Linked DNA regions of Oreochromis niloticus. The protein of the gene in region 2 purifies or fractionates together with the protein of the main gene of each other region. This does not show direct contact. Links are inferred from orthologs where the notes say so. Each region holds a gene or a part of one and is shown on either strand. Other genes may lie near its edges.

Evidence for each region. Proteins that work in one complex are often made in the same cells at the same time.
Region 1: the proteins of stau1 (region 2) and ybx1 purify together in Homo sapiens (affinity purification with mass spectrometry; 3 studies listed by BioGRID and IntAct, with this or other methods). This does not show direct contact. The link is inferred for Oreochromis niloticus from reciprocal best matches to the Homo sapiens genes STAU1 and YBX1.

Annotation. Positions count from the first base shown.
Region 1 is NC_031984.2:24,180,888-24,184,646, forward strand, and holds the start of ybx1 (Y-box-binding protein 1), read right to left. Parts: upstream 2,373-3,759; 5' UTR 2,205-2,372; coding exon 2,096-2,204; intron 290-2,095; coding exon 226-289; intron 1-225. UniProt on the Homo sapiens protein: DNA- and RNA-binding protein involved in various processes, such as translational repression, RNA stabilization, mRNA splicing, DNA repair and transcription regulation.
Region 2 is NC_031970.2:16,668,377-16,672,135, reverse strand, and holds the start of stau1 (double-stranded RNA-binding protein Staufen homolog 1), read right to left. Parts: upstream 2,660-3,759; 5' UTR 2,461-2,659; intron 1-2,460. Other genes in the region: protein polybromo-1, read right to left, coding at 3,065-3,228. UniProt on the Homo sapiens protein: Binds double-stranded RNA (regardless of the sequence) and tubulin.

The DNA of each region.
Region 1 (3,759 bases), on a different chromosome or scaffold from region 2:
TACTGAGCCACAAAAAGCAGTGATACCTCTGCAGACTACAACAAAGCGAATGAGTGTAAGGATTAATAGATGCATGCAACCAGTTTGGAGACAAGTAGATAATTCATCTGGGCAGCTTTGTAAGCAAATCATAGCCATAATAGGATTGGGAATGTTCTTTCTCACACACACACACACACAGCTGTTATGAGGGTCTTTGGAAAGAAGGGATAGGCGAAGTCTTACCTGTTGATAAACCCATATCCATTCCTGACGTTGAACCATTTGACTGTACCCAAGACTTTTGTTGCTTTAAAAAAAATAAAAAATGAACATGTATTAATGATCATTTTAGATACATGTCTGTATTTAATAATTCTTCTAATAATGACAAAGTGTAAAATAAGAACAGACCATGAGAAAGTGACACGTTTGATGTGGAAGTTAAATATAACTCCCAACTGTCATTCCTATTATAGATCCCGGCGCTTAGGAGTGTCTTGTGCCAGCTGCATTTGGTGTGAGGTATGAACCGTCACGAACACCATGCACGAGTACCACGAATGAGTACCGACTAGATTACTTCTCGTGTGAATTTCAAGACTTCATTACCCCTATTTATAACGTCCCTTTCTACTGTGATGCCATCCAAATCAAAGATTTCAACATCATCATAGCAGGCCGCTGTAGCTAAACACATTGACTTAACTACAGCAGACCTAGTGCCCCATTTTAGACGCACTACTGAGCGTTCACACGTGGTAATCGCGCCCGGATATGTTAGCAAGCTCAGCTGGCTTGTTAGCATAGCTATGTAGCTGAGAAGGTCTGAACCATGTGCTTGGATTACTGCCAGCAAGCGGAAATGAACATAACACATCGGACAGCTTCTATTGTGACCAAATGCTTAGCACGTAAAAAAAAAAAAAAATTAGAAAAAATGCCACGGTTATACTGGTTTCAATTAACAACCAACGAAATGGCGAAAGAAATCAGTGGAATACACGGCGGACATTTTGGATGGCCTCTTTAGCCATGTAAATAGCTCAAGTTAGCTGGCTAAGCTAACATAGCTTCGCAAACAAGCCAGCAACCGTCGGTCGATTGCTAGGCCCTAACGAGACCTCATCAATTCCACCGAAAATAGTCGACCGCTGACAGTTGTGCTCTGGTGAATTTCCGATCAAATCCAAATATAATTCGCTGCTAATTGTAACAGTTAAAAGTCTGAACATAGTTTCGAGTGTTATAGATTTTTTTTTTTTAATATTTCACCAGGGAGCAAGACTCGTGCGAACAAAGGACGGCAAGTCGCTAACGCTAGCTTGATTTCGACATAATTTGTAACCGGTAAAGCCAGTGGATATTTCGGTGTTCCACAAATACGGCATTAAAGTTAACTTTATTACTTTAATACATGATTTCCCATTAACTGTCTGCCTAAAATCAGCACCGACGTTGGCGTATATACACAGGATCCGATAACGGCCAGAAACCACTTCAGCGACCATTTACGTGACGGCCACCCGGTACCACGGCATTCTATGGCGTACGTTTGACGCGAGGAGGCCGATGAACAGGAAAGATTGAAAGTCTAAAATACCTCATTAATACCTTTTTAATACTCATGTCGTCTAAAATTATTTAATATGAAGGCCAAAGTGTTAGCTATTAAAGCAGCGATGTATAAAAACTATATATATAAAAAAAAAAGCTTGCACTGTCTGGCTTCCAACCGATAGTTTAATTCTGTATCGCTAGCACGTAAACGTTTAGCGTTTTTCAGACATCAAAAGAAGATTAGTTTAACTTTTCCTAGAAAGCTTCTCGTTAGAAAACGCCAACACACTGAATAGAACATAGCCCATGAAATAATTCAATTTTAGCCAAAACTATACTGGGTCCCGTTGGCTAAAATAAAAATTTCCCTACCATTACTTAACATGTGCTAACGTTGTGCGGCTCAACGGCCGTTTCTAACGAATGTATTTTAGTTTAAGGTAGACTGAGCTGTGGATCGAGTTAACAACATTAGCAGCACCACTTTTGCGCATTGCCTCTGTGCCGTAAAACACGTTAGCTATCTAGTTAGCTTAACTAGCTCCAGCAGTCTTACCGATGACCTTCTTATCCCCCGCGGAAGCTGCGGCTGCCGGGCTGGATGGGCTCTCCGCATCGGCAGCAGGCTGCGGCGGTTGTTGCTGTGTCTCGGCCTCGCTGCTCATTGTTACTTGTTGGTAATGGCTTCAGCCGGCGGCGGCTCTTTGCTATATTTCCCGGTGCTAGATGGTAACCTGGGCCGGCGGTGGTGGGGGCTACTGCCTTCGGGCTCTCTGCTTTCCTCTTTCCGCTCCCGTTGCCGATCTAACTGGGCAGAATGAGATGAGGTGCCGTGGAATGTTCCTACTCGGAGGTCCGCCCAACTGCCATTCTAATTGGTTGGAAAGTGTAACAGGAAACACTCGCGTTCCAATTAGCCAGAGTAACTGTCAATTTCGCTTCAGAAACGCGTTGGGTAAAATGATTGGGTAAAGGAAACCGTACCTGTCCATTCTCACCACCCCTTTATGATGTCAGAGCCAGACGAATCAGACTGCATAACCGTGACAGTTTTGGAACAGTGTCTACTTACTAAAATCTTGTTCTGCTGACGGATTTGGACCTAATATGCATATAGTTTAAAATATAATTGTAGTTATCATTATGCAATATATAAAATTGCAAATAGTGTGATTATCGTGTAATCGCATGCTTCAAATTCGGAGCAAAGTCAGCAGTTTAAGAGATCTAGAAACACAAAAACACGGGCCCATTAAGAAAGACAATGCCTGAATGTTTAAAGTATTTTCAGTTTCATTTTGTACGCTGGTTAAATGAAAAATCGATATACTGTGTGTGTGTGTGTGTGTGTGTGTGTGTGTGTGTGTGCGCACCAATGATGGGAATAACGGCGTTATAAGTAACAGCGTTACTTTTTTCATTAACAAGTAATCTAACTAATTACTATTTCTATCTTTACAACGCCGTACCCGTTACTAACATGAAAATGCGGTGCGGTCGCGTTACTATTTTTCAACAAACAGACGGCTGAAGCTGTGTTCATCTTACCGCACCTTATATCAGTTGCATGGAAGTAGCTGTCTACATAAGTAGTCTGGGCGCTACAGCTTTAAGTAGCTGCGGGCGCTCCCGCGGACGGCAATCACTTTCTGGCAGACGATCACTTTTTGGCACAACACCTGGAGCTAAGGGGGGCCAAACAATCCCATGAGTGCTGCAGTTTGACTGAGAAAGAATATAGTAGTCGTAGTAAGACTTGGAAAGCTCTGCACAAGAATTCCAATGTACATGGACTGTTGGTCCTGTGTGCAAATGGCAAAATAAAAAATCTTGAATCCTGAATCACATGACCACTTCAAGATGACAAAGCAAAGAGGTGATATATACCAGTTTTTAAATTGTGCTGATAGGCCACGTAACACAAGAGTCATGACAAACAACATATACGTGGTGTTTTTTCCTGAATACTATGGTCACGTTTACCCTCTAAGGGCAGCGCTAGCAAGCACTATCTGCTTATGACCAAAAAAGAAAAAACAAAACAAAAAACACCCCTTTCGTGTTGTGGAAAAATGTACAATGTCGACCAATCAAAAAATGATATAGAAACATGGCATTTGGTTGTTTAGGAAGAGGGAGGAAGTTTTAGGAGTGACGGAGAGAAAGAGAGCGGAAAAATGAGAGAGCAAGTTTTAAGAAGTGAGAGATTTGTGACGTTTG
Region 2 (3,759 bases):
ACTAAAAAAGTGGTCTTAAACAGGACTATGTGAATTTACTATTTATTTTTCTGCATTTTGCAATTGCCAAAAACAAAATGTTCTTTCTAGCAAATTCAATCAGTCGGGAATGCAATGAAGAAATCCTGGCTTATGTACAAAACAATTTTCCTTTTTATTCAAGATGTAGAAGGATGTGTTTTCTATTGATTCAAACTAATGTTTCAATACAGTCCACAGATCTCAAATGTAATGGTAGTGCATTCCATAGTTTGAAGCTGCAACTTTGAAAGCACAGTCTCCATTAGTTTTCAGTCTGGCAATAGGTGTCGAGCAGAAAGACTTGAATTATCTGCATGTTATATAAGGACGAAAGAGTTCACAAATGTAAGCAGGCATTCGATAATGCAAATCTCTGAAAGTGATCACCAAGATCTTAAACTTAAGTAAGAACTTAATGGGAGGCAAGTCCACTAAGACAACAAAATGTGTGTCACAATATTTTGTAGATTAAAAAAAGCAGGATCGCACAATGCTTTTCCCCATAAAGACATCATTTGACAACTTTCCCTGTACCATTAATGACAAGTTTGGAATCTCTGTATATATCAATAAAGATGTGGTCTTGGGGCCTTAAGAATAGTTTCGGTAGCTGCCCAGGTAGAGACCACCCTCACCAACTTCTGCCACACACACACAGTCATTTTGTTCTATAAGCACGCTTGAAATATGACAGAAACTGCTCAGTTCAGAAGAGCTTCAATGGTTACTTCTAGCAGGCTTTCAATGGGTAAAGACTTACTGTGTTTTTCAAAACTAAGAAATTGGTCCAATATAACGCCTACATTTCTGACATTTGATTGAGCTGCCACTAGCACAAACAACAACTTCTGTTTTTCCAGTAATAACTAAAATTTAATCAGCAGCCATGCAGTGCTTTATGGCATCATTAACGTCATGAAGGATAGATATTTTTGGAACATTGTGAGGCGGAGAAAAAGAAATGTACAATCGGATATCATCTGCATAACAATATGAAACCCATTTAACGGTGGTTTAAGAGGTGTCCAAAAGGGTGTAAATACATTTCATTGTGAGTAGCAGACATTTGACTGACTGTTAAATACATTGACTGGTAGTTAAATACAAATTTTGTGTTCATTTGAGCACTACAGACAATTTGCCAATTTAAAGAAAAGCAGGACAGAAACAGTGATATCTGTCGGGTCCCAGCACAGTTCACCCAGTTTGCCTACATTGGGGAGATAACTTTATCAATCAGCCTATAAGAACAGTGTTGTGCCAAAAACTGATTTCCAGCCTTTGCCAAAAAGTGATTGGCTGTATTTAAACTGCTAAAAATAACTTGTTGGCCTATACTATGTGAAACATATGTCAAATGTATCCCTCATGAATGATATCAAGTTATCTTGAGCCACAAACAACATTCCTATCACAAGGTAGAATCAGTTTATGGCTATTATGTATCCATTTTTAACCAGTTAAAAAGTTTCATTAAAAGCCATTTTTGTTTTGTCAAAGAGTAATCTGGCCAAGAGGACACCAGAAACTGCAAGAAATATAAAAATAGTTACTAAAAGGTATTTTAAATGGCCAAAAAGGATTGGAAACATGGGAAACAAAAACGCATGGAATCACTGGCACAAAAAGTGATAATCTGCCAAGTGACCAAGGGAACACCGTAGTGCCTATTATAGTGCCTATAATAATACAGCACAGTAATGTTTTATTAACAGCATTTTCGCTGCCTTGATCTCACAGTAAAGATGCTGCTGATAAAAACTGAAATCACTTTGTTCTCATTCAAACCACAGCTGGGAGGGTCCGTGCTGTCAAAGGGGCCCTGGGAGCCTTCACTAACTGTGATAGAGCAGAACCACCATTTACATGCAACGACTGTAACCTGCATCTCATGCTAAGCATTATTAGATACAAAAATAATACTAATAACTAATTTGTTTAAGAAAAAATGTTTACCATTAGCTCGACTTACAACACGAAAAACTGAGGCTAGGTGGTTAGCTGATACAGCCGCTTGCAAACAACCACGATTACTGTCTGGTAGGCTTTCTGGACCTGTATATTCGTCAATGATTTGACTAGCTGTGAGCAGCACAAGCTACTGGCAGCTAATTCCTAATTAAAATCAGGCCGCCGGCTGGATGTACAAGCTCTACAGAAGAAACTTGCTCGCTAACTAGCTTATTCGCTACGAATGGCAGGGGTGGACATGATAGGACAATCTTTGCAAAAACAAGCCCCGTTACTGAACGGGTGCTGAGAACAGCAAGACAACGCCCACAGCTCACTGACAACAGCACTTGAAATTTGTTTATTAAATGAATACATCAGAAAAAAGGGGAGGAAACATCTTGTTTAATTCAAATCGAGGCTGGGAGCACCCGGTGTCACCGCTAGCTAGCTAACGCCGACAAAGTCTGAGCACAAAGTAAAGCTCACCTCGTCGCTCCTTCTGTGCGGTTTTTAGTTACTCCACATGACACGCTGATTTACGGCCGTTTGCTTTTGTTAATGGCCAGTTTGGAGAATCACAGTGCGTTATTTTGATATCGAAATGCGAGCGGTGAGGAGGTGGACATTGGGAAGACAGGGCAAACACTAAAGAGAATGGTACTATCTCGCTTCACTCTGCAGGAAGTGACATCGACTAGGAGGAAGTACTTCCACGATCTCAAATATTATCATTCAGGATCGAGAGGCTTGTGAAGCACAAAGGAGTAAAACACAAACATGTTATGAGGGTAATCACATTAAAAAAAAACCTCATCAACAACAAAAAGAGGACACAGTCTAATTGGGGTATTGACAAATTTATTTGCACCAATAAGCCAAATATCACAGGTTAAGCAGAACTATTCATCCAAATGGTATAAAAAAAATGAAATGCAGCACACAATTAACTGTTCAGCTCATTATGTTAGCTAATAAATATAAAATTGCTCATGATTCACTATAAAATATTGCTTCTAGGGTCTACAAGCTAAACTCCGTGACTTGAGGATAAGAGCAGTGACTGAGCAGAGTGGTTTGTAAGTCCAACAGGTTACAGGTTGTGAGCCTGACAGATGTTCAGAGAGTCTCTTAACATCAGGTCACGCAGACGCCACAGTGCATCCACCATGGTGGTGTGGGCTCCTTTGCTCTTCAGCCAGTGAGCTGGCAGCCGACTCTCTTGTTCTTTGGTCAGGTGAGAATCTCGCCTTTGTGCTGTTAATGGAAACACACATTTCTCCTTAAGTGTAATTATTCAAAAGGCAAATAATGTTCACTATTGCCTTTGAAAGCAAACAGAAACAAAGATATGCACAGACTCAAACTGGTAAACATGCTGGGAAATGACAATTTGGGCTTAATGCAAAAATTAAGGCAACACAGTCAACATTTTAGAAATATATTCCTATCATGTAAGGCCAGCATCACATTTGGGGAAAAAAGTGGAGAGAAAAAAGCTGTGAAAATTGTCTAATGCTCTAAAAAGCTCCTGCTTGAATGCCTCAGAGCTAATTAGGCTGATTGGAAGGAGGTCAGCAACATGACTGGCACTAAAATAAGCTCCCCAGAGAGGTCAAATCTTTGAAAGGTGGAACAATTCATAATATCGTCAATGTAAAATGTAAAAAAAAAAAAAAAAAAAGGATTTGTGGATTTCATCATCTACAGTGCATCAGAAGCTATCATTTAGCTATTTCCCCTATATGTAAACATGAAAGGGTTGATACTGGTAGCTTGTAATCATTT